4 linked regions of the Caenorhabditis elegans genome follow. The protein of the gene in region 4 purifies or fractionates together with the protein of the main gene of each other region. This does not show direct contact. Each region holds a gene or a part of one and is shown on either strand. Other genes may lie near its edges. The genes, in order: copa-1, elo-6, nspg-13 and irg-7.

Region 1 (10,432 bases), on a different chromosome or scaffold from region 4:
GGCAAATTCGGAAAATTGCCGGAATTGAAAATTTCCGGCAAATTCGGAAAATTGCCGGAATTGAAAATTTCCGGCAAATTCGGAAAATTGCCGGAATTGAAAATTTTCGGCAAATTCGGAAAATTGCCGAAATTGAAAATTTCCGGCAAATCGGCAAATTGTCAAAATTCAAAATTTCTGGCAAATTTTGGAAAATTGCCGGAATTGAAAATTTCCGGCAAACCGACAACTTATCGAAATAAAAAATTTCCGGCAAACCGGCAATTTGCTGAACGGCTATCTGAATTTCAGGCAATTTCCAAATTTTTAAATCTTAAACATATAGTCTCAATTAAAAACTTTATTCATTGTTCAATATTAGTTTTTATTTGGAGCATCTGGCTGATTATCTGGATGAGCCAATTTGAATCTAAAATCTTCCGCCAGAATCTCATTAATTCGAGTAATAGTTGGATATTTGGACATGTCGACTTTGTAGCTGGAAATTTCAAAATTTTTAATTTAAAAATTCAAAATTTTGAAATAACCTACATTTTCGCATTATAAATTATCGATGGCAAGTTGATATCAGCAATTGTAAGCTGATCTCCAACACAATATTTCCCAGAATGCTTCTTCAAAAGTTCTTCGAGAGCTAAGAATCCCTTGTTCACAAAGTGATTGCACCACTGAAATACATTTTGAACTATCGGGAAACGCCTCTTGGAACCTATTGCGGTTTGATCTACAAAAAATGCGGAAATTTTTTTCACCGATAAAATGTGACGTCAGCAGCACGTTCTAGAAGTCTGCGTCTCTTCTCCCGCATTTTTTGTAGATCTAGGTAGATCAACCCGACATGGGACACTCTGACACCACGTGAGAACCCACAAAGTCACCGTATCCCGGCTCCTTTTCATTGAGCATTTTGTGGATATTGATTGCTTGAAGTGGCTGAATACTTGCGACTATCTGAAAAGAGCTCGCTTAGAGTTGTTAAAGAATGTTAAAAGCTCACATGAAGTGCGATAGCTCTTGAATACGATCTCTTATCCAATTCTTTTGGAAGGAACGGAGGATCCGGATAGGCTTCATCCAAATATTCGATTATTGCCAAGCTTTCTGTCAGTGATAAGCCATTTATCACTAAAGTTGGAACTTTTTTCGCTGGGTTGTGCTTGACGAACTCTGCATTGTTCTGAAATACAGCTATATTTCTATGGAAGTGGGAGTAGGGCAGGGGTGGATGGCAAATTGCCGGTTTGCCGGAAATTTTCAATTCCGGCAATTTACCGATTTACCGTTTGCCGAATTTTACCGATTAAAATTGAAATTCTGAAATTTCCAGAAAAAAATGTGCAAAACCACAAGTTGCCGAAAGTTTTCGGCAAATTGTGTTTTTCCGGCAAATCAGCGATTTGCCGTTCTGCCGAATTTTGCCAGAAATTTTCAATTCCGGCAATTTTCCAATTTACCGGAAATTTTCAATTCTAGCAATTTGCTGGAAATTTCAATTCAGGCAATATGCCGAATTTGCCGAAAATTTTCAATTCCGGCAATTTTCCAATTTGCCCGAAAATTTTGATTTTCATTAAATTTTCGATTTGCCGGAAATTGTAATTTTGGGCAAATTGCCGATTTACCGTTGCCAAAAGTTTTCGACAAATTGTGGTTTTTTCCGGCAAATCGGCAATTTGCCGCTAGGCCGAATTTTGCCGGAAATTTAAATTTCGGCACTTTGCCGATTTGCCGAAAATTTTCAATCCCGGCAATTTGCCGCTCTGGCGAATTTTGCCGGAAATTTTCAATTCCGGCAATTTTCCAATTTGCCGGAAATTTTCTAACCTTGGATTCTTCAGAAAATAAGTCGATTGGCCGGTATTCGTAGTCGATATTTTTCAGAGCAAGTGCTATAAATCAGTATTTTATAGAATTTCCAAGCTAAAATTACCGATGCGAACTCTCCAGGCACACGACGAACGCCAATATGAATATAAAATCGGTTTTGCCATGGAGTTAGAAGCTTCTAAAGAAGAAAATTGAAATATTTAAGCAATAAATGACATTTTGAGAAGAAATTAAATATGAACACGTGGGAAAAATCTTCAAAAACCCTAATTTTTCAGTTAAAAACTACTTTCTCCGAATAAAACCTCCATTTTCCTCAATTTTCAGCACTTTTTTATGTCAATTCCCACTTAAAATTCCCCTTTAACGGTCATTTTTCCTAAACTGTGCAGTTTCGCGTCGCCGTGTTTGCACACATTCCGTTTGATGCGCAGGTTTCCACGTTGTCCTCTTTTCTCCATTTTCTGTCTCTTTTAACGTGGATTTACCGATTTTTATCTCTGAAATTCTTAATTTTTATGGTATTTTTCGTAGTTTCTTTATCAATTTAATCGAAATTCCAAGTTTTTTCATTGATTTTTTGCATTTTTGTCTGTTTTTTTTAAACATTCTTATATATCCACGTGTCATTTCCATAATTTCAGAACCTTCATTCACGCCGAGGAGCAGTTTTTGACTGGTTACCGACTATAAATCGGATATCATGTCGCTCCTTATCAAATTTGAATCAAAATCCGCTAGGGTTAAAGGTAAATATTTTGGTTTTTGGCATTATTTTTCAATAATTTCCCAATTTTCCAGGAATTTCGTTCCACCCAACTCGGCCATGGGTGCTCACATCGCTGCACAGTGGAGTCATTCAACTCTGGGACTACCGAATGTGCGTTCTTCTCGAGAAGTTCGACGAGCACGATGGTCCAGTGAGAGGAATTTGCTTCCATCATGATCAGCCGATCTTTGTGTCTGGAGGAGATGATTATAAGATTAAAGTGTGGAATTACAAGCAGAAACGCTGTATTTTCACACTTCTCGGACATTTGGATTATATTCGTACCACTTTCTTCCATCATAAGTATCCATGGATCATTTCTGCGTCCGACGATCAAACGGTTCGGATTTGGAATTGGCAGAGCCGAAACTCGATCGCCATCCTCACCGGACACAATCACTACGTCATGTGTGCTCAATTCCACCCAACCGAAGATCTTGTGGCTTCTGCCTCCTTGGATCAGACCGTCCGTGTTTGGGATATTTCTGGACTTCGGAAGAAGCAAATGCCTGGTGGAGGTGCTCCAAGCCGGCCAACCGGAGGGCAACAAGCTGAGCTATTCGGGCAACCTGATGCAGTTGTGAAGCATGTGCTAGAGGGACACGATCGTGGAGTCAACTGGGTTGCATTCCATCATACCAATCCAATTCTAGTCTCGGGATCCGATGATCGTCAAGTCAAGATTTGGCGTTACAATGAGACGAAAGCCTGGGAGCTCGACTCGTGCCGTGGACACTACAATAACGTCTCATCTGTGATCTTCCATCCAAATGCTGACTTGATTCTTTCCAACTCGGAGGATAAGTCGATTCGTGTGTGGGATATGCAGAAGCGTACCAGTCTTCACGTTTTCCGACATGAAAATGAGCGTTTCTGGGTTTTGGCCGCCCATCCAAGCTTGAACATGTTCGCCGCAGGACATGACAATGGAATGGTCGTTTTTAAAATTCAAAGAGAACGCCCGGCTTATTGTGTCAGTGATAATTTGGTTTTCTATGTGAAGGGACAACAAATTCGCAAGCTCGATTTGACAACCAAGTGAGTAGTTTGATGCCAAGAAAAGTGTGCCGCAAAATGCATTTTTGCACAGAATTAGCGTTTTTTTTTTGCGAAAAAAAGCGTGCGAGAGTTGCGAAAATGCATTTTCCGGCGCACTGAATCATGTTTTTGTGGAGTCTCAGTAGTTTTTAAATGAAAAACTTTAAATGTGCCCCATTAAGCGAATTTCGTATTTAGAGCCTCCAAAAAATCGGAAAAAAGGCGTAATTTCAATAGCTAAATTCTCCAACTTCCACTGAAAATAGCAGAGTTTTTTTTGAGATTTATCAAATTTTTAGCTTTTCAAAAAATGTTTTCTGCTTTTTACGAACAAATCTTTTGTTAAACAATGAAAATCGAATTTAAAATGACTAAAATTAACTTTTTCCGTCCACTGGTTGTGAAATGGGTTGAAATTGAAGAAATCAACGGGATTTTTCTGATTTTCTGAATATTTTTCTATTAGAAATCGGTTTTAAACCATTTTTTTTTACTAAAACCGATTTTTAATAGGAGAATATTTAGAAAATGAGAAAAATCCCGTTGATTTCTTCAATTTCAACCCATTTCACAACCAGTGGACGAAAAAAGTTAATTTTAGTCATTTTAAATTCGATTTTCACTGTTTAACAGAAGGTTTGTTCGTAAAATGCAGGAAAAAAATTTTTAAAGCTAAAAATTTGATAAATCTAAAAAATCTGTTATTTTCAGTACGAAGTTGGAGATCTTAGCTAAATTTAGAGCTTTTCTCCGGAAATTTTGAGGACTCTCACTACAAAATTCGTTATTTTTTGTACATTCAGAGGGGATGTACAAGCAAAAACCCCTCTAAAATCAAATTTTCAGCAAGGATGTTGCTCTGTGCAAGCTCCGTTACCCACAACCATTCATGCAACCATACTACTCTCTTTCCTTCAATCCTGCCGAGGGAACCTTCCTTCTCACAAGCCGTACTCACAATAAGGATCTATGCGCCTTTGAGCTGTACAAAGTTGCCAGTAACTCTGATGGAACCACTGAAGCTGCGTGCGTCAAGAGCACCGGAATCAATGCACTTTGGGTTGCTCGTAATCGTTTTGCAGTTCTTGACAAGGCTCAGAATGTGTCGTTGCGTGATTTGACGAACAAGGAACTTCGCAAACTCGAGAATATCAACACGGCTGTCGACGATATTTTCTATGCCGGAACTGGAATGCTCCTTTTGAGAAATGATGATGGGCTTCAACTGTTTGATGTTCAGCAAAAGATTGTGACTGCTTCAGTGAAAGTGTCGAAAGTTCGTTATGTGATTTGGAGCAAGTCTATGGAATTCGCAGCTCTTCTTTCAAAGCACACGCTGACCTTGGTCAACCGTAAATTGGAGATTCTGTGTACCCAACAGGAGTCGACTCGTGTGAAGAGTGGAGCTTGGGATGATGACTCGGTATTCCTCTACACCACTAGCAATCACATCAAATATGCAATCAATTCTGGAGATTGTGGAATCGTTCGTACTCTGGATCTTCCTCTGTACATTCTGGCTATTCGAGGAAACGTGCTCTACTGCTTGAATCGTGACGCTACACCAGTTGAAGTTCCAATTGATAATTCTGATTACAAGTTTAAGCTTGCTTTGATTAACAAACGAATCGATGAAGTTGTCAACATGGTTCGATCCGCAAATCTCGTCGGTCAATCCATCATTGGATATCTCGAGAAAAAGGGTTACCCAGAGATTGCTCTTCACTTTGTCAAGGATGAGAAGACTCGCTTCGGGTTGGCAATTGAATGTGGAAACCTGGAAATCGCGTTGGAAGCCGCCAAGAAGCTCGACGAGCCAGCAGTCTGGGAGGCTCTCGGAGAGACTGCTCTTCTTCAAGGCAATCATCAAATTGTTGAGATGAGCTATCAACGAACGAAAAACTTTGAGAAGCTCTCGTTTTTGTATTTTGTTACTGGAAATACGGATAAGCTTGTCAAGATGATGAAGATTGCACAGGCTAGAAATGATGCTCACGGACATTTCCAGACAGCTCTCTACACTGGTGATGTTGAGGAGAGAGTTAAAGGTAAAAATGTGCAGCTGGATTTCAGAAGGGGGCAAAAGTCAAAGTTTTATTGATTTTTAGCTCCTCTTTGCGTATTTTTTTCGTGAATTTCTGCAAATTCTAGACGATTTTGAAATTATTGAACCTAAAAATGGTCCAAATCTACCGAATATCGTCATGAGATTTCTCAAAAAAAAATTTGGAAATCTACCAATTTTCAGCTAAAATCTCATATTTTGCCAACTTTTCAGTTTCGCAGCTGACGGAACTTGATTTTTATTCAATTATCGCTATTTAATACGTATTTTGGTCGTTTTAACGAATAAAAGTGTGATAGACGACCAAAATATGTATTAAAAAGTAATAATCAATGACACACTAAAGTTGGCAAAATTTGAGATTTTAGCTGAAAATAGGTTTTTTTCCAAATCTCAAAACCGCCATAACTTTTTTTGTGAGTTTTCAGAAACTTTTCAGGATTTTTCATGACGAAATTCGTTACTTTTTGGGTCATTTTCAACAAAATAAAGTATAAAGTTAATTTTTCAGTGCTCCGAAACTGTGGACAAACTTCTCTGGCCTACCTCGCCGCAGCCACTCATGGATATTCTGCTGAAGCTGAGGAGTTGAAGGCTGAACTCGAGAGTCGTCAGCAACCAATCCCACCAGTTGATCCAAATGCTCGCCTCCTTGTCCCACCACCACCAGTTGCTCGTTTAGAAGAGAATTGGCCACTTCTTGCCTCGGCTCGAGGAACTTTCGATGCACAGCTTCTTGGATTAGGAGGACAATCTGCTCCAACTAATGTTGGCGGTGTGAAGCCTGCTGCTGCTGCCTTTGCTGTTATGGATGATGATGTTAGTTTATTGATTTCTGAGCTATCTGAGCTATAAAATATTAATTTTTGCAGGATGGTGATGTTGGAAATGAAGCATGGGGAGATGATGAGTATCTTGTCGGAGAAGATGGTGAACTTGATGTTGATGAAGGAGAAGGACCAGTTGATGGAGATGAGGAAGGTGGATGGGATGTGGATGATGATCTGGCTCTTCCTGATGTTACCGATGATCAAGGTGGAGATGATGATGAGGAAGTGGTTCCTAACCCAGCTCCAGCTGTCTCATCGGAATGGCCGAATGTTTCTCGTCTTGCTGCTGATCATGTTGCAGCTGGTTCATTCGGAACTGCCATCAAGCTTCTTCATGATACAATTGGAGTCGTTGAAGCAGCACCATTCAAGGATGTATTCGTGAAGGCTTATGCAGCTTCTAGACTCTCACATCGTGGATGGGGAGGACTCGGACCAGCTGGACCAGTGTCCATTCATCCGGTTCGTAATTTCCAGGAGGATAAGAATCATCTTCCAGTCGCTGCGTTCAAACTTTCTCAACTTGCAAAGAAACTGCAAAAGGCTTATCAAATGACGACGAATGGAAAGTTTGGAGATGCTGTCGAGAAACTGCGGGAGATTCTTCTATCTGTTCCACTGATCGTTGTGTCTTCGAAACAAGAAGTCGCCGAAGCGGAGCAGCTCATCACAATCACACGGGAATATCTTGCAGCACTTCTCCTTGAAACTTATCGAAAAGATTTGCCAAAAACGAATTTGGAGGATGCGAAACGCAACGCCGAACTAGCTGCCTACTTTACACACTTTGAGCTTCAACCAATGCATCGTATCCTGACACTGAGATCTGCTATCAATACTTTCTTCAAAATGAAGCAAATGAAGACTTGTGCATCACTTTGCAAACGTCTATTGGAGCTCGGTACGTGCTTGCGTTGTTGATTTTTTTAAATTTTATTTCTAATTCTTAATTTTTTTTTCCAGCTCCAAAACCAGAAGTTGCTGCTCAAATCCGAAAAGTGCTGACTGCCGCCGAGAAGGATAACACTGACGCGCATCAGTTGACCTATGATGAGCATAATCCATTCGTCGTGTGCTCTCGTCAATTTGTGCCTCTTTACCGTGGACGTCCACTCTGTAAATGCCCGTATTGTGGAGCATCGTACTCTGAAGGGCTCGAGGGAGAAGTGTGCAACGTGTGCCAGGTTGCAGAAGTTGGAAAGAATGTTCTTGGGCTCCGAATCTCAACTCTGAAGAGCTAAAAGTTGTGAAATATGATAATTTTTTCGTTTTTTGTGTGATATTAATTATTGTAATTTATTTGCCTTGTTCTTCCACAATTCCCATTGCTTTTGGTCCCTTCATATTATTTTCCCGTTGGGCGGCGGTTCATGTTTTCTATTTAAATTATGTGTTTTTAAAAATTATTTAAACCCCACAGAAAGATTATGATTGCATGCTGGTCTATTTTATTTGAATAAATCATGATTTTTTTACTTTTTTTCATTTATCTTTGGGGTAAGAAAATGTTCTCTAAATCAGTAATTTACATGGAGAAATTTGCTCGAAAAAATTCAAAAAAAATACAGTAAGAAAATTGTCGTAAAGTCTAGGGTTTTGGTATTGCGGACTACGACAAAATGCACACAAACCATTTTGGCACCGGAAAAAGGCAAAAGCCAGGATTTTATCGCGTTTTGGCTCATTTTTCTTGCAAATTTCCATGGAATTCAGTTAACATATACCTAATTATTCAGTTATTTCGAATTAATCAATAATTTTCAGTGAATTTCGCAATTTCTAAGTGGTCCAATGATGTCTGTCCACATATTTCCTTGAAAACTGATTGTTTTATCGGAATTTATTGATTTAAAATAATATATATAATAAAATCTGAATTTTAGAATCATTTTTGACGTGGAAAAGACCCGAAAAATCCAAAAATCACGAATAAACTGAACAATTAAGGTATTAATTTTTGATCCCCCACCCCCAGTTTCTCAGTTTCTCAGCAAAGGATTAAAACAATTGTTCTTCTTCTTTTCCCCCTACAAGAATTTCCTGTGAATTTCAATCGTAAAAATATCGATTTTCTGTTTATTCTTTGGATGAGTCACCGCACTCGCCGATTGTTTAACTAGTGCAGTTCGGCAGTTTTACGTTATTTTTTCACGATTTTTTGGATTCTGATCCTCTAGGTGACTTGAAAATACCGAATTTCATATCGTAATATGACAGAAAAATTTATGGCGGTAAAAAAATGCGGAAAAATTTTCTAATTTTAACGGAAAACTCCAAAAAGCCGTTGGAAAATGATTTTTATTTGATATTGGCATATTTAAATAATTTTTATCCTGTTTTTTAGTGGATTTGGATATTTTAACCCGATAGTTATGTATAACGGCTTAAAAATTGCCAAAATCAGCGAAAAAACGCGAGAAAAATCACTTAAATATGGAAAATAGAACAATAATCAAATAAACCCGATTATCCAAGCCAAAACTGAGTTTTTTTTTTCGCATTTTTGAACTTCAAAATTTCGAAAAAATGGGCTATTTTTAACGAAAATCCCCAATTTTGCAATTTTTTCGTGTCACAGCCGTCGGAAATTGATTTTTATTTGATTTTTGACACATTTGAGTGATTTTATCCTTTTTTTTTCGTGGATTTAGGTACTTTTAGCCGATAGTTACGTATTGCTAAAATACTGGCTTAATAAGTAGCTAAATCGACGAAAAAATATGTTTTAAAAAACCAAAAATGGCAAAATTTTACGATTTTTGCTAAATCTTTTTTTTTTTTGAAATTTTAAATCGTCATAAAATTATTTAGCTAAATTTTTGTTAAACATTTCAGCGAAAAACTCCATTTTTGCCAATTTTTTGTGTCACAGCGGTTGAAAATTGCGTTAATTTAGGTATATTTGAAGCCAAAAAAGGAACAAAATTAATTTATTTGCAAAATTATCAATTTCCGGCTTAAAAACGCTCCAAGATTGGAGATTTCAGCGGAAATTAGCCCATTTTTTCGAATTTCTAAACCGCTAGACTGAAATTCCGTCTTTTTCTCCCATTTAAAACAAAAAAAATCCCAAATTTTTTGCAGCAAGCATGTCGGCCCATCAACTACCGGCATGTGTGATCGACAATGGAACGGGTTATACGAAGCTCGGATATGCTGGGAACACGGAACCTCAGTTTATTATTCCATCTGGTTAGATTTATTGATTTTCAGCCTATTTTTCATAAAATCCAGTGAATTTTCCAGCAATTGCCGTGAAGGACAAGGTGGCGAGCTCGAATTCGCAGGCGATGCGCTGGAATAACCGAGTCGGAGCCGGGATAGACGATCTTGATTTCTTTATTGGAGATGAAGCTTTGTCGCCGGCCGCTACGAATTATACTGTCAAAGTTCGTAGTTAATAGACCATATTTATGCTCCTGATGTCAAATATCAATGTGAAATTTTTTTTTTTAATTCCCAGATTTTATATAATTTTTTAAAATCCAAAAATCCTAATTTTAAATTTAAACGACAAAATTTTGCATGATAACCGTGCCGCAGGTGTGGATTTACGAGATTAATATTTTTAATTCATTTTTATTTAATTTTCACACCGATTTTCCCGTTTTTTCGTTGTTATACATTGAAATTCTTGGGATTTTCATAAATTTATTCATAAATTTACTTTTTATTAATGAAAACAAATTAAATTACAAGAAATATCGAACTTTTGCTGAAAAAATCGAATATTTCACGTATTTTTGTTGTTTTCATTAATAAAAAGTCATAAATTAATGGAAATCATGATAATTTTAATGTAAAACAAGGAAAAATCGGGAAAATCGGTGTGAAAATTAAATAAAAATGAATGAAAAATATTAGTCTCGTAAATCCACACATGCGGCACGGTTATCATGCAAA
Region 2 (7,144 bases), on a different chromosome or scaffold from region 4:
TTGTATGAGTCCGAGAAGCACTTGAGCCACTAGGAACGTGCTAGGAATGCAGCGGGTTTGCATTGAAGTCTGTCCAGAACCAAAAGCATCGCATCCATTAAGCAAATGAGCATTTTTGCCAAAAGTTTAACCGGAAATTATGAAAAATCTAACTTTTTTGGAGTGTTTTATTATGATATTTGGTTGTTTTGGATCATTATAAGTGCATTTAGACAAAATCCCCACTGGCGCTACTCCACCTTTAAGGTAAATTGGACATCAAACTCAATCAGTCTTAATGACTTATACACTTTATGTCGTGAATATGATGGAGCAGAATCTCCATTATTCACGACTTTGATAATTATTGCATAATTATAAACTCTACAACGGACGCTAGCAACACCGAGCACATCTATCACCATTGCTCAAGGGACAACCGTGCAGTCGATACATAAAAGGAACAACCACTTGAACCATTTTCGCCGTGAACTCCGGAGGGATGCATACAAAGAGGAAAGGAAGCTGACAACAACAACATTCACGCCATGACCTTGCCACGCCGCAATTACGAACAGCTCAACACGTGGACTATATTGCCAACCTTGGAGGGACTACCCGAATCAGCAAAAAAACCTTATATTTTCTGAAGATCTTTTTGAATATTTTTACCAGTTTTCTTCAAAAAATAATTTATTCCCAGCTTTTCCAGCTAACCGATTGGTGATTTTTCGTCGTTGAAGAGATCGATCAAGCAGTTGTGACTTAAGACAATTTTGTCGTAAATATGCCACATCGCGCTGAAGTACAGTATGGTACCAACAACGAAGACGGAAAAATAACGATAAGAGGCGTTTGGAATCACGGGAACGTCTGCTGGCTAGCATGCTTGGTACATTTCATCAGCAGAATCCCCAATGTCCGTACAATTGTAAGTACAATTGTTAGCAGTATAACACAAGATGTCAATTTGTCAACTTTGGATGCTCTAAAAACTAGCTGAGGTGAGTAATTGTGTATGAAAATGTTGTTTTCAATTAAATATATGAACTTATAGGCCGTTCATAATCTGTCGATAGCTACAAGGAATATCCCCATTTGGAATATACAACAAGACGCGGCAGATATGATGCCAGTTTCATTCGAGTGGATAGTGGATATAATGCTTGTTGCAAGCAAAAATTCGAAAAGCAGCATGGAAGCTTTAAAGGAATTTGGACAAGTTCTATTCCCAGTTGTGGGTGGAAACTCATTGATACCTGGCCGAGTGTTAGGAGGAGATAGAACACCACTGATCATCCAAGTGTCAGTTGGTTTTGAAACCTTATCAACGGCATTAGCAGGATTCGGACGCTTCATCTATCTACCATCAATGATATTTGTTGAATTGCAAAGAGCTCACCAGTTACATGCGCATTATCCATTTTCGAAAGGATTCAATTTCAACAATCTTGGAATAATGCAGACTAATTTTTCAAAGCAACATGAAAAACGACGACTCGAAATGACCCATGTTCTTCAAATGTTCAATGGACTTAGAATGTTGGTTATAATCATTAAGAACTTTAAAAATGTATTATTTTCAGCCAACTATCGACGATCTTCTCACAAGCTGCAAAACAACAAGCTGATTCTCTAGAAGAACAGATGCGTGAAGATATCAAGAAGATAGCAACATTTGATTCATCTCCGGAAGCGACGGAAAACAGCTTCTCTGTCGAAGAAGAGGATTATAGCTATAAGCTGAATGGTGTCATAATTTTTGAAGGAGAAAATCGGGACGAAGGTCATTTCTTGTTCAGTGAATATACTTTGACCGAAACTTTTTTCACTGTTTCTAGAAGTCTAACAAACTTCATTTTTGTAGAGCTCACTATTTCAGTATAATTAACCAGCACGAGCTTACAGTTGGATTTTTTCTATCAAATTGTATTTAATTTATTTATTGCTAAAAATTTACTGTTTCAAAGCCAGTTTAGAGAGTGCATCCACCAATTCGTTCAGTAGGCTGATCTTTAGAGCATCCAAAGTTGACAAATTGCTATCTTGTGTTATACTGCTAACAATTGTACTTAGAATTGTACGGACATTGGGGATTCTGCTGATGAAATGTACCAAGCATGCTAGCCAGCAGACGTTCCCGTGATTCCAAACGCCTCTTATCGTTATTTTTCCGTCTTCGTTGTTGGTACCATACTGTACTTCAGCGCGATGTGGCATATTTACGACAAAATTGTCTTAAGTCACAACTGCTTGATCGATCTCTTCAACGACGAAAAATCACCAATCGGAAAAACATAAATTTTTTAATAAAAAACTTTTTTTCATATTGAAAAAGTTATAGGTTTCAACATAGGCATAGGAACGAAAAAATCTACCTGCCTGACATAAGGTAGTTACCATACTTTGTTTTTAAGATAACAATTAAAATAATTGTATTCTACTAAACCTTTATTATACAAATCAGAACATTTAATAGAAAGTGTAAACTACCCGGAAAAAAAAGATAAATTATCTCTATTCTAATATTTTATTCAATTTTCTTTTCAGTCTTCTTCTCTGCATTAAACTTCTTGCCACCTCCCTTGATGTATGATTGATAGTAGAAGTTTCCGAACAGAACGACATAAGAGATTTCCATGAGAAGGCAGAACCTGGAAATATTGCATTTTACTAATTTTATGCTGTTTCAAAAGTATTGTAAATTTTCTACAAATTTTAGTTGTTCTAATACATATGTAGTGTCCACTATCAAATTTCCTTGAGTTGCTTGGTAACAACAAAAAAAACTCATAAACTGTGATATTTAGCAAAATGTTTTCAATTTACAAAATGTTGTCGATTAATTATTTTAGTGTCAAAGCTGTATAAACTCATGTTCTGAAATAAATTACAGCAGCCGACAACGACAACATTTAGTGAAATGGTAATATTTTGCTAACTATCACAGTTAAAAAAATACATGTTTGAAAAACTAAAGCAAATCACCAAAAAAAATCAAATCTAGGCGGAATATTAACTTGCATTGTATAGTTTCGTGTTACACTATGTACTAAAAAAAGACACTACATATTGGACAAAAACCCACCAATAATATCCTGGAGTTGAGTCAACAGATTGTCCAGTAACTGCCAAATATCCAACGTGGAAAAGAATGAAATGAGTAATAACGAATTGAAGAATTTGCATTGTTGTAATATTCTTGGCAATCCATGCTGGAACCTTGACACCAAAAGAACGAAGCATATAATATCCATACATAATTGAGTGAACTGAGAAATTCATCCATGTAATCCAAGTATTAAATCCCAAATTAGCTTCAAATGACATAAAAGCATAATTCATTGTAAGCACATGATGATACCAATGAAGGAACATCAATGGCTTTTTACGAAGAATAATAAAAAGTGTATCTCCGAATTCAGCAACTTTTGAGAGAACGAAAAGCCATGTGAACATTCCAGAAAGTCCATTATAAAAGTCTCCGATGTGAATGTAAGATTCGAAAAATCCACGGCTGAAGAACTCGTGGAGAAGTCCAAATGTAGTGGCAAGTGATCCGAGAGTTGAGAAAATAGCAAGACCCGCATTCCAGAGATTCAGTGGTCCCGTGAGCTGGAAATAAATTAGTGGGGTTTTAAGTGGGTGGATTGGTGGAAAATATAATTCCCGTTTCAACCGCAATTTTTATTTTGTAGTATATTTCCACTGTTAATTGAGAAACGATCACAATTTTCTTTTAAAAGTTATCAAAGCAGTATTTATAAAAGTTTTTGTTTTAAAATGGATAAAAGCTAAACTTTTGATTAAAAAAAATTGAATTTTCATAAAATGTTTACCGTTTCAAAGAATCTATAGACTCACATCGCATTTCTGGCCCCACTTTCCAGTTCTAATTACCTCCGAATAGTTAAGAAATCACCAAAGATGTACTGTTTCAGACAATCTATTTAGAAAGTAACATCAAATAAATAGTATTTTGTATCTGGTGGCATTAAAAGTAAGAAAATAATTACTGTTTCAGGAAATATTTAATTGTGTGATACAAAATGAGTTCTAATCTACCAGCAATGTATTTTCAATTAATCAAAAAATGGGTTCTTAATTATTTGCAACACTAAACTGTTCAATAATAAAATTTAAATTTTACCGAAAATTTACTGTTTCAGAGAATCTACAAACTTACATCAAATGGTTTTCGGTTTGTCATGACAGCCTTGAGCCCAAAAATAACGACAACATATGCCATTGAGATCCAGAAAGCAGCATACTGAGTCTGTGCAATATGCTTTTTTGAGAGCTCATGACTGAATGGAGCAGTTGTCAGCACCTCAAAGAATGAGACTTCTCCCTGTGGCATTTTTACCTGCAATTTTAAACTTAAAAAAAGGAACTGCCATATGAAGAGTGTGGCTCAAAGTAAACTGCTAAATAAGAACCAGATCTAACAGGTGGGGCTTAAGATTACTGTAGATGGGTACAAGGTACAAGTCTCTAGACTAACATAAGAATACAACAAAGCAAACATTTTGGCTCCAAGAGCCCGAAAGTCACAAAACACGGTCATCACCAACTCCTTTTTATACTTAACCATCTCGTTTTCTGCGTCTCTCCCTCTCTCTCTCTCTTGTAGTGAGATACCAAATGGTGGTCTGATTTTTTTTGTTGGAAAAAAAGGTAAAAAGGCGGAGGCAAGTGATTTTTCGAAGAAAATTCGGAAATTATGGGGCGATGAAAGAGGCGGTAGACGGGGGAAAGAGAGAGAGGGAGAGAGTGGAAGACATTTGTTTATAGGTTTTTTGAAGTGAAACGATTCAGAACACACTCAATGTACGGTCAAAGAATTGTAACTCTATTGATAAGATGTTTTTTATTAAAAAGTAATTGAAAAGTGCCTGAAACAGTAATTAAATTTCGTATATAAATGGTTTTTAATATATTTTTTCATGATTTGTGTATAATACCCAGTAACGGAATTTTGTGATTTGTGCGCCAAAAATACTATACCAGGTCTTGACACGAAAAATTTGAGTTTAATGCAAAAGGCTGTGCGCCTTTAAAGAGTACTGTAATCCCAAACCTACGTTGCTGCAGATTTTTTTAAAAATCGATGTGATTTGCTAAAATTAATGTGTTCTTATTATTATCATTGAGAGATTTTTTAATGAATACAAGTACAATTAATTTTTCCCAAAATACTATGAAAAATCGATAAAAATTAAGTTTTTTATTAAGAAGAGTTTGAATTTCCAGTATTTTCTGAAATAAAAAATTGTATTTTTAATCTTTTTAATCAAAAATTGTATTCTTTAATCTTTAATCCTTTTAATCCCATGACCTGGTATTCTTGGCGAAAAAATTACAACATTTTGTGTCTGGGTAATATCCAGTCGTGAATTCGTGAATTAATTCGCCAAATCTGAAGACTCCACTTCAAAAGAACATTTTTCTCTCGATAGGTCTCGCCACGATCCATTTTGTTGGCGACAGGCGCGACTGCTCTTTCTTAAATGAAAATTGAGATATTTGTTCGCTAGAATGTGATTTTTTAACAGAACATACAAATATATGGTTTTCGTGGCGAGACCAATTTAAAGTAGCACGCGCCTTTAAAACGACTACAATCAACCTGAATACTACATAAAATTGTTTCAGACACTGCAATAAAAAAGCTTTTTCTGATAAATTTTGTGACGTCTGACATTGAAAAGTAGAATAAACTGTGTTTTTTTTCAAAACTTGAAACCAACAATCAACAATCGCCACGTTCCCTTGCAAACCACATAAATTTTAGCAAAGAACCTTGAGAAAAGTTATCGAGGTCAGCATGAATGGTGAATACAAAGAGAATTTCGAGATTTACCGAAAGATACTCGGAGCGGTATCCAGCAGAAGAAGAAAAGAGAGAATCCTTTTTAGATTGGTCAATTGTTGAAAAATTCTGAAATGCACTGGAGTATCTTGAAAATGGAGTCATGGGAAACATGCTATTTAATAACACCAGTCGATTTATTTATGAATGACTGTAATTTGAATAAAAAAAACTAAGGATACAATAATGGAGCAGAAAGGAAACACTCAAGACAATAAAACATTTTACACGATGATATAGAACATGCCAAGTTACAGAATGAAGCTATAATCTATTGAAAGCTAGGAAAAAAATTATTTACAGGAACGAGAATATGGAGACGATCTGGTTTTGCTGCCATCGGCTCCTCTGCGAGTAGTTGGTCTCGTCTGGATAGGCGACATTTGTGCTTTCTCGAGAGACTCCTACAATTTTAAATTTTTTGTTTATATGTAAAAAACTAATAAACTAACAGTTATATCATCCACCGGAGAAGTCTCGTTTCCTCCTTGATCGTTGACAGATTCAGTAGTGGCCTGACTAAGACTTGTGTCACTGTCCTCCGAATTAAACGATTTATACAGCACATTCACTGGATTGAATCCATGCCTATCGGAAACTTTGTCCAGGTGTCGCTTGAGAGTCAACTCTGCTTCGTATGAATCGGACATCAACATGCTCCAGCATTCCATGTTTGCAGCGTGGCATCCTGGGCGCAAGTGACCAATGGTTGCCGATTGGATATCATCAGGAAGTGTGTAAAAAGTGGAAGAATCTTCGAAGCCATCAATGCGGAAATTGGATGGAGCATCGTTTGTGTACTCCAATCGAAAATTAGCCGTGAATTCTTCTGGCAACGGTTCGAGAACTTTTGTGCAGAGGAACTGAACACTGCGAACAATCGTCACCATTTGATCTCGTACGCTGTCGCCACCCTCGTATACAAGTTGAGCAAGCTTTGCGAAGTGAGGATCTTCCTGGCCATTCTTGTCAGTGCTCAGACGAGCAACCACGCCGCCATTCTCAAAATAAATGAACTTCATAGAGAAAACTTCGATGGCTTCAAGATCTCCTTCATTATTTGTGATCACGAGGGAGACTTCTTTCAGAAACCCATCCTTTGTTGCATCCCCAGCATTTCGAAGTAGTTGAGCGATTTGGTTAGACCGTGGGTTTCTGAAGCACAGCGTCATGCATTTCAGCTTTTCTGAAAAAGAACATTTACTATAAAATGTGATAAGAAAAACATTTACCAGTGATGTAATTCTTCGTGAAATATTCTTGTCCAAGAATGTTACGGTTCCTAAGAACAGC
Region 3 (7,012 bases), 2.0 Mb from region 4:
AGATGGGAAAGCCCCATAGCCATTACGGGCCATGAATGGGACCAAACAATTATTTCTACCATAGCATTACACCTTTTTAGTCACACTAGTATTTAAGGTGTAAATAGATACCCATTTAACAAGCATTCACAATTTGAAGTTTTTTTTTTGAAAATTTTACTGGAACCAGACCAAAAAATTATTTTGAAAAACCAACAAAAAAGTTATGTTCTGAAATTGTACCAAGTATTCATTTTAGCCTGCCAATGCATATATGATCAGGGGTGGGTGGCATTTATTTTCGGCAATTCTACAAAAAAAGTTGCATTATTTTTTCCCACATTTTTCATTAAAAAAATTAGTGCCGAACTACAGAATGTTGTTTGATTTACTTGAAAATAACATCGACGTTAGCTGAAACATTAATAAACGTGCTAAAAAAATTGCCTGAAAGATATCAATTGTGGAAATATAAAGCTGGAAAATTCGATTCATCATTTGGCAATTTCCAACCATTTTTGAAGCACTTTCAGCTAAAATGATTGTAATTATCGGATAAATTAAATGAGTTTTTACATTTTCACACTATTTTTTTACGAATAATGTTAGAACAACGTGGCGCAATATGTAATTTGATCTGGTTCTACGAAATTCAATAACATTTCGTATTGTACTGTTTTGTAATAAAAGTTTTATTAATTTTTTTTGGATGGGAAATTATTTCAACTTGATGGTATCTCTTTTAGATTTAGCTTTTTTGTTGAAACATACGAAATATTTTATTTCAAAATCGAAATACCACAAAATTGATAAAACATTTGCATTTCTTCCCGGCGTTCAGAATGCTGAAAAAATAAAAATTGCTCATTAATCTGTTTTGGACTTACTTGAGCATTGAAGACTGCAATCGTGCAGAACAGCTCGACCAGCTTGTCGTGCATATTCACATCCCCACCAAGAGCTCTCAGAGTTACAGGAACTGTGATCGAACAATGCATTGAAACATCCGGTATATTGCTCGAAGTACCTGCAGATTTTTTAAAAATTAATTATGTTGTAAATTTTTGATCATATTTCATTACATGCAGTGGTTCTTATAATCTGCCAACAAATTCTTGGCAAATGTGGCACGGCAATCGCTGATCTGAGTTTGTTTTGTGGAAAAAATGTTCGACATACAAACATCGTTGTTGGAGAATCCTTAAACATTTAAAATTTTTTGTTGCTCAAAAATTATTGAAAACCTACCTTCAAATCCAGCTCCGCACGCAAATCCGAATTGTTTGTACATTGACACCACTTGCACGGCATCTCTGAAAACTTGGTAAGATTAACAGAAATAATGAATTGTGCCAACTTACCCAAGTCGAAGACCTGCTTTCACGTGATAACTAATGCTGGTGCAGTCACGTCGTGCTGGTCCAAGACATTCATAGTACTTGTTAAAAGCGCTGAAATCAATTTTTTTCGATGGGCAAAAGACAATGTAAGTATGAAAAAACGAACTCGCAAACTTTGAACAAACCACTTATACCGTTGATGTACATGTTTTCAATTTCTTGACGGTGACATTCAGGCTCGAAAGCAAGAATTCCTCAAAAATTGATAGCTCATTCAATTAAATTGTTATAAAAGCTTTACCATAACAGTTTGACAAGCCTAGATCAGATTTGAGCTGTAGCCCGCAACACTGAAGTAAATCTGGAGTGCATGTACCTGTAGTTGAAGGAGCGCATGCACAAAAAGCTGTTGGTGCTACTGAACATGCTTAAAAGGTCAATCAATCTGGGGGTACATTTTGAACTTACTTGCCAACACCGCAATCAATACATTCAACAGCATGTCGTGGAACGGAAAAGCTAGGGAAATGTTTCATTTATGGGATTAAGAATTGCAGTCCTTATCAGTTGAAGTGATTATCAATAATCCTGTACGCTTAAAAGACATTGATTATTGCATTAAATGGGCTAAGCGGAAAAAGTATTTTCGGAACCTTGTATTTGAATTTGACGGTGAAATTTTAAAACGAATGAAAAAAAAACTAATTTTTTATTTCAAATATTGCATAATAAGTAAAACAATTTATAAAAGATACACAGTCAAAAAATAGTTTTTTTTCAATAATAATTTGCTTATAATCTGTTGTCCTACCAAAATGTTTAATATACCAAATGTTGAAAACGTCCCAAAAAAGCTATTGGCAATATTTATTTCAAAACCCTTTTTTCAAAACTTTTCATGAAGTTCCCCATCGCCACACCAATAGATTGTCATATACTATACCGATGGCATTTTCTCAGTAATAAAAATTTATTCTTATCACAAATGATAATACATAGTTAAGATTGAATGACAAAAAGTTAATAATTTGTTTGTATCTGACATCATTTCGTTTTATTCGACTCATCCGATGATTCCTCCGCTATATGGCACTGCAAAAAAACAAAATCAATTTTACTAGATTTCACAATTTTCAAGTTTCACTTACAAACACATCTAGCTGCACATTGAGGGAATCGAGTAAAAACATTGACTCTTGAGTATTCACAAGCCCAGAACATGGCATCGTTTGATTTTTCACCACAGTTGTTTTTGAACTGAGTTTCGAAGCAAATCAAGTACTTATTGGCTTGTCTGTAAGTTTGGTTGGCGTTTTTTAATAATACCCGATGGTCTTCTTACGTGCAAGCCTGATTTGCGTCAACGTCACTGTTCACCTCATAATCTAGTCGGCATTGTCTCAGGACATCACTTTGGCTTCTCCAAGTAGTTGACATACAGCCCTCATTAAGGAGGTATGCTGAAATGAAGAAAGTTACCTCGTTACGGTTGGAATCCATTAGTCTGTATAAGGCGCTATTTTTGTGTTAATCGATTTCTGATCTCTGAGCAAATTAGGAATTTATAGTAAATGCGCAGCCGACTTCGGTTGTGGTCAGCGATGGACCTATTTCCCATGTATATCATATTTTCCTGCGTCTCTTGAATGTTTTTTTTAAACCTAATATGTGCTAGTATTCATGCCTATTCTAATCATAACTCAGAAATTCCTCTAAGAGTCTCATAATGTGTATAAATTACCACAGCAGCAAGCCCCAGAAAGTTTGATTTCGACACTCCCCGTGTTTTCCACCTATTCTAGAAACTTCATACCATGCCAAAAAGATGTGTAATTGTGTACTCAACAAAATTCAATTCCGACATCGCGTCGGGAAATGACAATAAAAATTCATACTTTGCAATCCAGCTCCACAGACAAAGTGCATTTGGTTGAACAGTCCAACAAATTGATAAGCGTTGAATGGAGTGGCCGATACAGAAACAAAATGGACCGCAGACATGCAGTTCGCGTATTCAGAGCCCATGCAAACTTTAAACTCGCGGAAAGCTCTGGAATTATATTCAGGATTCGAGAGAGAGTATCTAGTGAAGTACTGACTTGCAAACTTTACGCATTCCACTGGGTCCTTGAGCCTGGTAGTTTGTCTCCACCTAAATTTAATCAATAATTGTGTTTTGCTCTTTTTTCTGATAATCAAAAAATCAGATTATAATACAATCATGATGACATAATTAATCCCATTGACTTAAAAGTTATCATCGACACGTTCTAAACCTCACATTTCACATTTCACTATGCACACCCTTCGTCATATCACCTTATTCAGTTATCATTTCATGGAATGGCAAGCGTGGAAACTATTGTATTAAAAACTTGCCTCCTTGCGGAAGTTTTCGGGGTCAAACCATGGCTGTGGGTCGCTGATGCTCAAAACCGCATTGAGAGCAGTTTGGCACTCAAAATAAACCGTCGAGTCACAGTTTAGACCGGCTGATTGGACTCCTGGAATAAAAAAATAAGATTAAAACAAATATTTCACAAGTTTTAATTTCAATTTACTTACCTGACAATCCAAGAATCAACGCAAGAAATGGCAAACACCGGTCTTGCCACATCTGAAAGCATAATGTGAGCACAAATATGTATTTTTAATTTTGCAAAAAAAAACACACACACACACAAAGTCAGAAGTATTCAATGCATTGAAGCATTTCAAACGAAAACAAATTTTTGAAATTAAAAAATTATGAATTAAATTACATAGATTTATTCCCAAAAATGTGAATTCAAATAAAACATTTTGACCAAAACAAAAAATGGAGATGATTAAACAAAAGACGATCAGACGCGTTCGTGGACTGAAAATAAAATAAACATTATTTAAACCCCATCCCATTCTGAAAACCTACATGTGCAGAAAATCTGAGAGCACTGTGGGAAGAGAAGATTGGTACCGGTACGCTCGTAGTTGCAACCCCAGTAGGCCATCTCTGGCTTCTTACAAGCGTTCCAGAACAGTTGGAAGTAGCAGTTGGCTGCGATCTCAACGTATCTAGAAAGTTAAGATTATTCATTATTCTTTTTGATTGGAAACAAAACTTGAAAACTTACGCGCAAGCTTGAGCTGGGTCAGCCATGGACTTCACGTTGAAGTCATTGTCGCACTGTCTCATTGCAGCTGTCTGGTTGTTAAAGACAGAAGAGCCGCAAACTTCAGAGTTGGCAAAGACTGAAAATTCAATTCTAGTATTCAGTATTACAGTATAATTGCTAATCTTACTCGAGAATCCAGCACCACAGACAAAATCAAGTTGGTTCCAGATTTTTACGTATCCATTAGCCTGATCCTGTGTGAGTGGGGCGCCGTTGTTGCTGAAGAACAGACAAAAACTGTTACAGTATATATTGAATTGAGAACTTACTTGGTTCCAGTTAGAAGACCGTATGGGTTCTGAGCACATGCGTAGAACTGTTCTTTTGGTTGGCTATAAATCAGTTGATTTGAGATGTAAAAATTAAAGGATCAAAGGGTGTTCCGTTTTTAAACTCCCACTAGGCTTTAGTTTCAAGCCACGAGCCATTAGTGGATTCCTCTAATTCCCAAGCTAGGTTGGGTGATCCTAGGGAAAGGCAGGACTTGAACTAGTGGTCTCATGATTGCTTGCGATCACCACACTACCGACTGAGATATTCCCGTCGCACATTGTGAATCTCACAACATTGCAAACTATGTCACTTACTAGCACTGCTTGTACTGCTTGAAGGCATCGCAAGTTGTAAGAAGCCCGTATGCTTGGTTATTGGCATACGACTGCTCAATGGCACTTCTCAAGTCTTGATATTTGGCAGCACCGAGAGAAGCTGAAACACCAAAACTTTTGTGCTTAATTCTATTTTTCAGTTTCATTACCATCAAATCCCAAAAGTTGATTGAACTGACTCTGACAAACATTTAGCTGGTTATTGATATCGCATGCCGTTAAACTTGGGTTTTGTGCCGCCACAACGCCTGAAACTTTTCATTGGTTTATTTTTTAAGGTCATGTCTCTCAGTTTTTTCCCAGAACTTCTAATAGGTTGAAAAATAATCGAGCCTGGAATGTTTGGTTTCTAAAAGTCGTATCCAGTGCCACCGTACATTTTCTTTTTGATAAGAAAATGCCCGCCGCTAGTTGTGACGCAACTAATACCAACAATCACATTAGATTTAGGAAATTACAGTAGTCTAATACTTGTGCAGATTTCATTTTGGGAACGTTCCCGATCTTGCAAAAGTTACTTAGTCATAATAGTATTTAGGCGTTACCGGGCAACACGTGGAATTTTTCGTTATCAAAACTGATGATAAGTAAGCAAAAGCAATCCGGTTAGTGCAAGACTTAATTCTGCCAATCTAATAACTGTGGAACGGTCTTGTTTAGTTTTGAATACTTGTAAATGATGGGGTAAAGGCAATGAGAATGCGAGAATCAGGAATTGAACGAAATTTTGAAAAAGAGAGTGCCTAGATAAATCGTTGTGAGCAATTGACATTTGAACTATGAATTTTTGAAAAATCGGTAATCAAATAAATAGTGCCTAGTTTTTACTAGAATTTCGATTAAAAGCGCTCCATGATACAGAGAATCTGTCAAGAATCTTACCAACTAGTACAAAAACAGCCAGGCAATAATTGGTAGAGCACATTTCGCGGGGAAGCAGGCGTAGTGCAAAGTCGTGTCTCCCGTTATCACTTTGCCGCTGGCACTTCTGTCTGAATCTCCACCTTTCGAGGGCCGGCTCGCTTTATGGGTTTGCCAACCATCCCCTTCTCTTCCCCACCTCTTTTTCTCCTTAACGCGTGTATGTGCACGTTTATCGTTTCGTTTATTATGATAGTCATACCCTTTTTCAAATTGCATTATCACTTTTTTTTCAGTTTTGATGGAAAATGAAAAAGGGAGCGGCTCTGAAAATGACGAAAACTCTTTTCAGTCCTAAAATGACGCCAGGAAACAAGGCGTGGCTGGTAATTACTTGTTACAGTTCCAGATTTATTAGAAAAAAAGTCATGGAATCTCATTATTTGTGGACAAGGTAGAGAATACATTTGTCAGGGAAGTTGGTGACATTTAGCAATAAAAAGATCAAAACATGGCATCAAAAGTAGAAATACACAGTTTGGGAAGATGTATGAGATCATTGGTTGGTTACAAGTATTCCTGTTTCACAGTAACTCATCAGATGCTGGATTTGCTCGCAGGTGGACTGAAAATAGAATACTTGAATGCAAAAAGACTATAAATTCGAGAGATATACCGCTGGATGGAAGCTCTGCACCAGAGGGCAATTGTTCTTGGCGAATCCGACAAGGTCTTTGATTCCAAATGATTTGGATATTTTGCCCACGTATTCGCAAACTTTGTCCAGTTGTTCTTTTGTCGGCTCTACGGCTGCAGCGGACGGTGAAGAAATTCCCTATAAAAATATGTGGCTTCGATTTTAATAGCTTCTAAAACGATAGCATTGATGATAACCCATGTTTGACAGTGATGTCGTGTTCAAACAGAAAAAAAGAGAGATGATTTGGGTAAGACGAGGCAAATGACTCACAGTGGGTTGCAATGTCGCTGATCCAAAAGAAGCTGTGTTTGGCTTAGCCAGTTCTATTTTTATTTCTCGAGGAACTGTTGCGGCTGATGCCTCTGGGGT
Region 4 (7,726 bases):
TGTTAAGTAAACCTTCTTTTCATGTTCTCAAAATAATTGTAATAAATATTTGTATGTCGTGCAATGTCAACATTCAACGATCGTTCAAGTTTTGTCGGTATTCTTCGCTACCCGTTACTCAGAAATAATTGTTTCAGCGAAAACGATCCACAAAACCCATTATCATCTAAAATGGGCCTTTTTTGACGTGATGGTAAATATGATAACACAGACAAACGGGCTAGTTCGTAGTTTTCCATTTTCGTATAAATTCGAAATCATTTTCAACTTTCGTGTCTCATTTTAAAATTTAAAACAAAACAAAAATCTGAAGTTAAAACTTATTACTATTTTTTAAAAAATTTCTCACTCTCCCTTTTACCTTTTCACCTCGAAAAGCAGCTGCCAATGTGCGAAGAGAGCGAGTGTTGGCAGTGCATTGAGGTGAGGCAGAGCTTTGTGGGTTTTATACGCTTTTTGCACATTCAATTTTCTATTTGAAGATTGATCTTCTTATCTCGTAAATGTATAAGCTACTGAATTATGACTTTATAATTCAAAATTTTTATTTGCAGACTTATAATAAAATTCAAAGAAAAACACCTTACTTTGTCATTGAAACTCAATGAAAAAATGGTTTAAACTTCTTCAATTAAAATTTCAAATAATTTTACATTTTCCAACTTATTAAGTTGAAAGTAAAATCCAAAAGTTTATCTTTTTCATATGTACTTTTCACGACAAACTTCCTTAATGAAGTTCAACACCAATAAAATTTAATTTGAAATCTTTCGTGTTCGACCGCGCCCATCATTCTTTCCAGGTGATTCGTTTTTTGTTAGACGAATCAACCTGACTCATACATATGTCTTGCAATAAAAAAATTTCTATGACGTTATTAAACATCAAACATAAATAAATGAATATATATTTTAATTGAACTTGTAAGGGATTTAAGTTTTCGTGTTAATTTTTTTTTGAATTCTTGTGTTAATAAACTATTTTTTATACTTCCGATTTTATTTTAAACAAAAGCCACCACGAGGTGGCCGTCGTCACCTGCCTCTTAACACATGTGTTCTCTTCTCGTCTCCTCTCTTTCCCGGCTAGTCACATTAGTTTCGTATGTACAAACGACGCTCCGCAACGCTAAACAGAGGGCGATTGTTTTGAATAAACACAATTTGCGCGCGGTTATCCTCCGTGTTTTACTAACCAATGCTCATTGTTCTTTCTGTTTCTGCTAGCCTCTTATTTATTTCGGTGTCATGTAAGTGATTTCTTGTCTCTTCTTCAATTCCTTCAGTTTTTTCTATATTATTCTTCAAACGTCAAAACTTTTTTTTCAGCCACCGCAAAATGAACGATCAGCAGACCAACAACGAGTCAGACCACACGATGAGTAAAAGTGCCAAGAAAAGAGCCAAGAAGCAACAGCAGCAGAAAAGAGCATCCGAGAGTAACGATGAAAAGAATAGCCCAACAAAAAGCGATGCAGAAAATACCGAAGCAGTGAGCACACCCGAAAAAGTTTCCGATTCAGTTGAGCCAGAGAAGCAGGATCAAGTTGATCAACTGGTGCCATTGATTAATAAATTTGACGTGAATGGAAAAGCACTGAAAACAATTGCCGGTCATGGGACAGTTCATTTGGGAGAAATTACGCCGCACAACATTTTGGTGAGAATTTATTAATTTGTTGAAGGAAATGTATGTTATGAAACGAACTAGAATTCATAATATTAAATGAAACCCATATTTTCTCGATCAATGTGAATATGATGTAGCCTTAATTTTTGCGTCTTAAAAAATTGAATATTACTCTTGCACGCAGTGAATGTGAGCCCACTCAATAAAATTCTGTTCCGATTTATATATATTCTGTGAATGGCTAAAAAAGCAAACCTAGGCCGACTTTGCTGTTCATTTTTGAAGCTTTCAACATTGCCCTGTATTCTGTACCTGTGAAAATTGTGTAAATTGGCATAGAATGAGCTGTTAAAATACGTTGTAGCCTACCGAGCATGTCAGACAAGTAGTTGAACTCAAAGTTTGCTGAAGCACACTCAAAGTTTGCTGAAGGTCTTCACTCACTCTTGAACCAAACAGATGATTTTAACCTCCACCTTTTAAATTTAATTTAGCCTTCCCATTTTCATCAGTAAAACGCGATTTCTGAAATCCTATTTGTTTTTCAAACCTCAACAAAAAATACACGAACTTCATAAAACTCGAAACTCGATTTTTCAATTTACTATAATTTCAGCAACTGAAAAAGCTCAATGAAGATGTCTTCCCAATTGCCTACAACGACAAGTTCTATGTGGAAGCTCGATATTGCGGAGAACTTGGACGTCTTGCCTACTACAACGATGTCGTCGTGGGCGCCGTGTGCTGTCGCATTGACGATATTTCAGACGAGAAGTCGTTGTATCTCATGACACTTGGAACCCTTGCCGCCTACCGACAGTGAGTTTTGAGTCAGATCAAATTTACCTTATCAATGACGTTTTTTTGGTACAGTTCTACCTGAAAATGACGGTTTTAATAGCGTTAATTATTATACCAAGGGCGTTTTACGAGGTAATAAAATGTGCTATTTCAGAATCGGTATTGGTACAATTCTCATCGACTACGCATTAAAATTGTGCAATAAGATGGAAGAAATTAAGACCATGTACTTACATGTGCAGGTATCCAGAAAAAAGTGGATCTGAAAAAAAGTAATTTTCCAGGTCAACAACAAAAATGCGGTGCAATTCTATGAGAAGCATGGCTTCACCAATGACGGAATTATCGAGGACTACTATCGTATTAGCCCAAGAGACGCTTACTTGCTCATCAAACGAATCCGCCACTAAACTAGAATAGCTCATTTTGATATACAATATCTGAACTGTTTCCCTTTTCAAAATTACTTTATTTTTATCATAGCGACTGGTGGCATCCAAGCCTGGTCTGCAAGTTGGATCTCTAGCCATTGACAATTGCCAGCATGGTTGTTTTGTCTTCTTTCCCATCTTCAAGCATAACCGTGCCTACCCGTATGAAAACCATGTCTGTTTGAGATTTCCCATTTTTTCTATGCTTTATTTCATGTATCATCATTTTCAATTCTATTGACTTTTTGTTTTTTGGTAACTCTGGTAATTCGATTGTGAATTCTAAATGTCGAGGTTCTTTTATTGTCCGAGCAAATTTTATGTTTTGAATTTTGACTCATAAAAATGTAAGGCGTTTTATTGTTAACAAGAACATGAAAAATCAGGAGAGCCCGGGGGAAAATTTTATTATGCCCTTATGCATAGCATTGAAAGATAAGAAGTTGCCACGATGTTACGAGCGTGCCCAACCCATTTTCTTATTTAACGACTTTGATTGCTATAAGGTTTTCTTGATAGTACTTTTAGTCGCATTACTCCAGTGCTTCTTTTTCATTTTAAGCTGTTGATAATACCCCTTCAAGTTTGCTTCCAAAAAAACTAATATTTTTTATTTAGAAATGAGGAACTGGGTTTTGATTGCGGCCCTGGCCGTGATCTGCCTGGCGACTGAGCAGGAGCTCAGTCACAAGGACAGAATACGCGCGGTTTTGAGATCATGGAGTCCGGCATCGCAGAAGCAGTTTTTCGAGCCAGTCAGAGAGCAAAAGTACAGGACTATGGAAGAAAGGGTTATTTTTGTAAGGTCTAGCAAACAGGTGCGATTCGAATTTTTAATTTCAGTTGGACACCCATCATATTTCCAAAAGATCCATTGCTGAACCACACGTTTTGGCTGGAATGGCTACTCGAGGATGCAACAAGCCAGGGTACACCGGTGAAACTTGCCAATATCGTGAGTTTTAAGATTTATATTTCTAAAATGTTCCATGACGCAGAAATTTTTCAGCCCTCTGTTCTGCTCGCAACCCGTACATTCCGAACAACGACGGATTTGATGACATTGCAATTGATGCTTACAATCTGGCTAATTGCTCTGAATCATACATCGTCGTCGTTGACGAGACGATGCGGAATATCAAAATTGAAGTCGAGACGGCGTCAGCATTGAACCCAACATTCTATCTTCAAGCTGAAAATGGAGATCTCATATTCCCAGACGAATCCATTCAACTTCCAACAATGTTCACTGCAAATTATTTGCATCTGCCTCCCGGACAATATATGCTTGGACCACGAGCCGACACCAGCGAGCAGTTTTGTACAATGATGATGTCATCCCGCAGTAGCATTCATGTTTCCGGTGGATTCACTTCAGGAGATCAAGCCGAGCGTAGTGACTATCCAAATCTCAAGTTTACATATTTCGATACTGAGTCGGTTGTTGCAATTCATGCTCAAGGTTTGGACTTTCCTGGTCAAATCCAAGCAATTGGATTTACCGGTGCCGAGAACCACATCTCAAGATACATTCCAATGACAACCCGTTTCAACTGTACTTATCCATACATCTTGGAGAGATACACTTGCAGAAAAACCAGCAATAACGATGCTGGACACAATCTCATTCAAGTTCGATTGAACCAAAGGTGCTAAACATTCAAATTTTTGTTTTCAGGTGGAGGGTGTGACTAACTCTGGCTACAAGTTCCGTCGTATTGTTCCTTACCAATGCGTCTGTGAGTTTCTTTGTAGTGTATATAAGAAGTTTATATAAGACTTTTAAGAAAAAGTACCTTTTCAGTACCACCAGTAACAACTACTACCCCCGCTGTCCCGACAACACCTGCAGCACCGATAACTTCTTGTCAAAACGGAGGGCAGTTGCTTACTGACTCTAATGGAGTTGCATATTGTTATTGCTTTGGACTTTACTCTGGAAGTACTTGCTCGCAAATGCTCTGTGCTAACGGAGGTACAATTCATCCTTGAAATTATATATTTTTTATAATAACTATTAAGGTTTCTTGCCGACTCCAACCAGTGACCGTTGTCAATGCCCAGAAGGATTCAGTGGCTTCCATTGCCAGAATAGTATGCACTAGTAAAAATTATCTGTTAAAACATAATAACTTTGCAGTCTTGTGTACCGACATGTCAGGCTTTGACTTCAACGCTGAAAACCCAACTCTCACCCTTGTCATCCGATCAAGAAGCCAGCTCTCTGCAGTTATTGAACAAGCAACTGAGTCTGTTCAAAGTATTGTTGATCTTCTCGCTAGTGAACCTGGATATCTATCAAAGTTCATTGTTGTTCTTTTTGATAACGGAAGTGAGTTTTGATCTAAAACATATTTGACATGAAAGTGTATTATTTCAGAGCTCTTGGTGAACAGACAATATGATTCATGGGACGCTGCAATGGTCGATCTTACAAAAGCTATCCATTCCGCTCCAAGCGAAGGAGGATGTGATGATGTTGTCATGTCTGCTGTTGCGTAAGTTCACTGGTATGTAATAATGTTTAAAAATGCTAATTCATTACAGATCTGCACTTTCTCTCTATCCAACAAACAAATCCCCGATCTATGTGATTACGGACGCCACTCCAAATGATAGTGCTGAGAAGGAAACTGTGTTCCATCTGGAATCTTATTGGAGAGCACCGGTAAATAACATGAAAGCAAATAATGTTGACTCTATTTAAATTTCAGATCTACTTCATTTACGTTCAACCATCTCCAGCCGATGGATGTAACTCATCTCCAGATAACTCTGCATATAGAGATATGGTGGACATGGCTGCTCGTTCAAGTGGTAACACTTTCTATTTCAGCGACAGAAGCACTATTTCGACCGTAAGTCACTTCACTTTATATCTCCCATATCAATTAACTTTTATAGTTCTTCTACCGACACATGCTTAACACCTTGTTCCGATCCCAACTTGTTCTTTCCGGAGATTACTCACACTGCTCCAGCCAGAATCTGTACAAGTCAGCTGCCTTTGATCTTAGCGTTGACTACGTTACAATTGTAGCCACTGGAACAAATTTGACTCTAGTTGTGACAAGCCCAACAGGACAGTATCCAACTTTCAACACCGCCTTTTCTGATGGTGTGAACTATGTTTGGACGTATAACTCGCCAGTTGCTGGTCAATGGTTCTTCTCTATCAGATCACTTGAACCAGAAGCAGCTTGCACGTTTAAGGTTTATCAGAAGAAGTTCAACTTTGGCGGACAAACTCAATACAGCCCCGACTATGATATTTTCTGGTCATTCGCTTCTACTCTTACTTCGGCAGCAGGAGTTCTACGTCAGCCAGTTCTTGGATTTGATTCATCTCCAGTTTTCCATGTTACCAACTACCCTCAGTTCCTCTCAATGGACCGTGTGCATGCCAATCTTCAGATTTATGCTATTCGTGACGGAGTTCAAACCGAGGTTTACGGATCAAGTGGAATGTACAGAGATGCCTGTGAATTCAACTTCTACTTCCCACCATTCACTTGCCGTGTTCCAGAAGAAGTTCTTTACTTCAATTTCTTTGCTCGTGATAATAATGACATGGCTCTTCAACGTGCCGGAACTATGTTCTGTGCTGCCGTTCATCCTACCCCGCCACCAGATCATCAATGCCAAAATGGAGGAGTAATGAACCCATCGAACACCACTTGCTTCTGTACTCCGGAGTTCACAGGAACGTACTGTCAGAACATTATTTGTTACAATGGAGGAACAGCTAGCGGAGATCATTGCGTCTGCCCACCTGGTTACGCTGGTGAGAGCTGTGAGATGGCAAGATGTATTGAAACAGGACCAAATCCTGAATTCATCCGTTATGGAGTTGACATGGTGTTTGCCGTTGAAATCACTCAGAATTCTATTGCTTCACTTTCCATGCTCAATATCAACTTCCAAGAAATTCTCCGCGACGTTCTCATGCAAAATCGTGGATGGATTAGAAACTTTGTTCTGGTCGGTTTCAACTCTACATGGGGAGGACCAATTGCTGAATCACCAGCTGATAACCTCACTGCAATCACCACTGCTCTTCGCACTCTTGCTTCTTCAGTTCCAGCCGATACTGGATGTACTGTCAAACTTTGGGATGCTTTGAATTATGCCATTTTCTCCAGACAAATGGCACCGGGATCTTTTGTAGAAATCTTCCAAACCACTCCAGAAGATGATACTGATACTCGTTCGCTTGGTCTTTTCTATGATATGTCTAGAACAATGGAACTGGTTCTTTACGGTTTCTTGACTTCAAATCCACGTTTACAACCGGAAGGATTTGTTTGCAACGCCACCGTCGAAAACTATTATACTCTTCTCGGAATTGTCAGTGGATCTACCGGAACTACTTATAGCCTGCAAGCAAATGAAATTTCTAATGCTGTCAGACTCATTCCACTTCAGTTCTCTAACGGACAAGTCACATTCAACGCATTGGATGATTGTAGACACGACGATGGACTTATTACATACTTCCCTGTTGACGCATACACTCAAACAATTCAAATCCAAACATTTGGTTATGGAACAACTATCCAAGTGTATACTGGTGCTGGTGTTATGGCAGAAGCTTTGGAACTTTTCTACGATGACTTTACCGGTCAAAGCGTGTACGAAATCAGAAAGGCTTGTGACGAAGGCTGGGAGCCAATTGGACAATACTGTATCAAGTTTATGGCAACTGTAGAAAACATTCTTCCGATGCCACAGGCTAAGGCTTTCTGTGCCTCAGCTGGTGGATTCCTCGTGGATGATCTCACTGACGACAAGAATGGCTTCTTGAAATCAGTAGCTGCAAACACTCAATTCTGGACCGGACTCTTCAAAAACAATGATGGACAATT

Evidence for each region.
Region 1: the proteins of irg-7 (region 4) and copa-1 fractionate together in Caenorhabditis elegans (co-fractionation; one large-scale study listed by BioGRID). This does not show direct contact.
Region 2: the proteins of irg-7 (region 4) and elo-6 fractionate together in Caenorhabditis elegans (co-fractionation; one large-scale study listed by BioGRID). This does not show direct contact.
Region 3: the proteins of irg-7 (region 4) and nspg-13 fractionate together in Caenorhabditis elegans (co-fractionation; one large-scale study listed by BioGRID). This does not show direct contact.

What each region holds. Positions count from the first base shown.
Region 1 is NC_003279.8:2,892,900-2,903,331, reverse strand, and holds copa-1 (Coatomer subunit alpha), read left to right. Parts: upstream 1-2,471; 5' UTR 2,472-2,530; coding exon 2,531-2,576; intron 2,577-2,628; coding exon 2,629-3,634; intron 3,635-4,480; coding exon 4,481-5,682; intron 5,683-6,210; coding exon 6,211-6,518; intron 6,519-6,571; coding exon 6,572-7,430; intron 7,431-7,492; coding exon 7,493-7,770; 3' UTR 7,771-8,003; downstream 8,004-10,432. Other genes in the region: gst-43 (maleylacetoacetate isomerase), read right to left, coding at 358-478, 532-668, 871-951, 998-1,177, 1,825-1,889, 1,931-1,991; arx-1 (Actin-related protein 3), read left to right, coding at 9,619-9,721, 9,776-9,918.
Region 2 is NC_003282.8:5,384,215-5,391,358, forward strand, and holds elo-6 (Long chain fatty acid elongase 6), read right to left. Parts: upstream 4,346-7,144; 5' UTR 4,340-4,345; coding exon 4,166-4,339; intron 4,061-4,165; exon of another isoform or gene 4,040-4,060; intron 3,979-4,039; exon of another isoform or gene 3,958-3,978; intron 3,884-3,957; exon of another isoform or gene 3,863-3,883; intron 3,716-3,862; exon of another isoform or gene 3,695-3,715; intron 3,595-3,694; coding exon 3,068-3,594; intron 2,732-3,067; exon of another isoform or gene 2,711-2,731; intron 2,634-2,710; coding exon 2,510-2,633; 3' UTR 2,415-2,509; downstream 1-2,414. Other genes in the region: F41H10.12 (CACTA en-spm transposon protein), read left to right, coding at 1,106-1,521, 1,566-1,866; htp-1 (HORMA domain-containing protein), read right to left, coding at 6,145-6,255, 6,304-7,037, 7,084-7,144. UniProt on the Caenorhabditis elegans protein: Catalyzes the first and rate-limiting reaction of the four reactions that constitute the long-chain fatty acids elongation cycle. Uses malonyl-CoA to add 2 carbons per cycle to the chain of long-chain fatty acids.
Region 3 is NC_003284.9:5,252,118-5,259,129, reverse strand, and holds nspg-13 (DUF19 domain-containing protein), read right to left. Parts: upstream 3,937-7,012; coding exon 3,885-3,936; intron 3,824-3,884; coding exon 3,699-3,823; intron 3,472-3,698; coding exon 3,419-3,471; intron 3,370-3,418; coding exon 3,215-3,369; intron 2,780-3,214; coding exon 2,662-2,779; intron 2,614-2,661; coding exon 2,468-2,613; intron 2,412-2,467; coding exon 2,383-2,411; 3' UTR 2,275-2,382; downstream 1-2,274. Other genes in the region: nspg-12 (DUF19 domain-containing protein), read right to left, coding at 817-824, 867-1,006, 1,062-1,179, 1,228-1,292, 1,341-1,430, 1,486-1,573, 1,621-1,737, 1,788-1,821; nspg-14 (DUF19 domain-containing protein), read right to left, coding at 4,163-4,179, 4,231-4,373, 4,433-4,550, 4,602-4,693, 4,744-4,806, 5,062-5,182, 5,232-5,330, 5,965-6,007; Y34B4A.10 (aECM cysteine-cradle domain-containing protein), read right to left, coding at 6,500-6,568, 6,620-6,778, 6,914-7,012.
Region 4 is NC_003284.9:3,239,380-3,247,105, reverse strand, and holds the start of irg-7 (Protein irg-7), read left to right. Parts: upstream 1-3,469; 5' UTR 3,470-3,481; coding exon 3,482-3,661; intron 3,662-3,704; coding exon 3,705-3,816; intron 3,817-3,870; coding exon 3,871-4,493; intron 4,494-4,539; coding exon 4,540-4,600; intron 4,601-4,665; coding exon 4,666-4,836; intron 4,837-4,883; coding exon 4,884-4,955; intron 4,956-5,001; coding exon 5,002-5,193; intron 5,194-5,241; coding exon 5,242-5,359; intron 5,360-5,408; coding exon 5,409-5,529; intron 5,530-5,575; coding exon 5,576-5,719; intron 5,720-5,765; coding exon 5,766-7,726. Other genes in the region: F40F4.7 (N-terminal methionine N(alpha)-acetyltransferase NatE), read left to right, coding at 1,339-1,659, 2,246-2,448, 2,585-2,672, 2,715-2,840.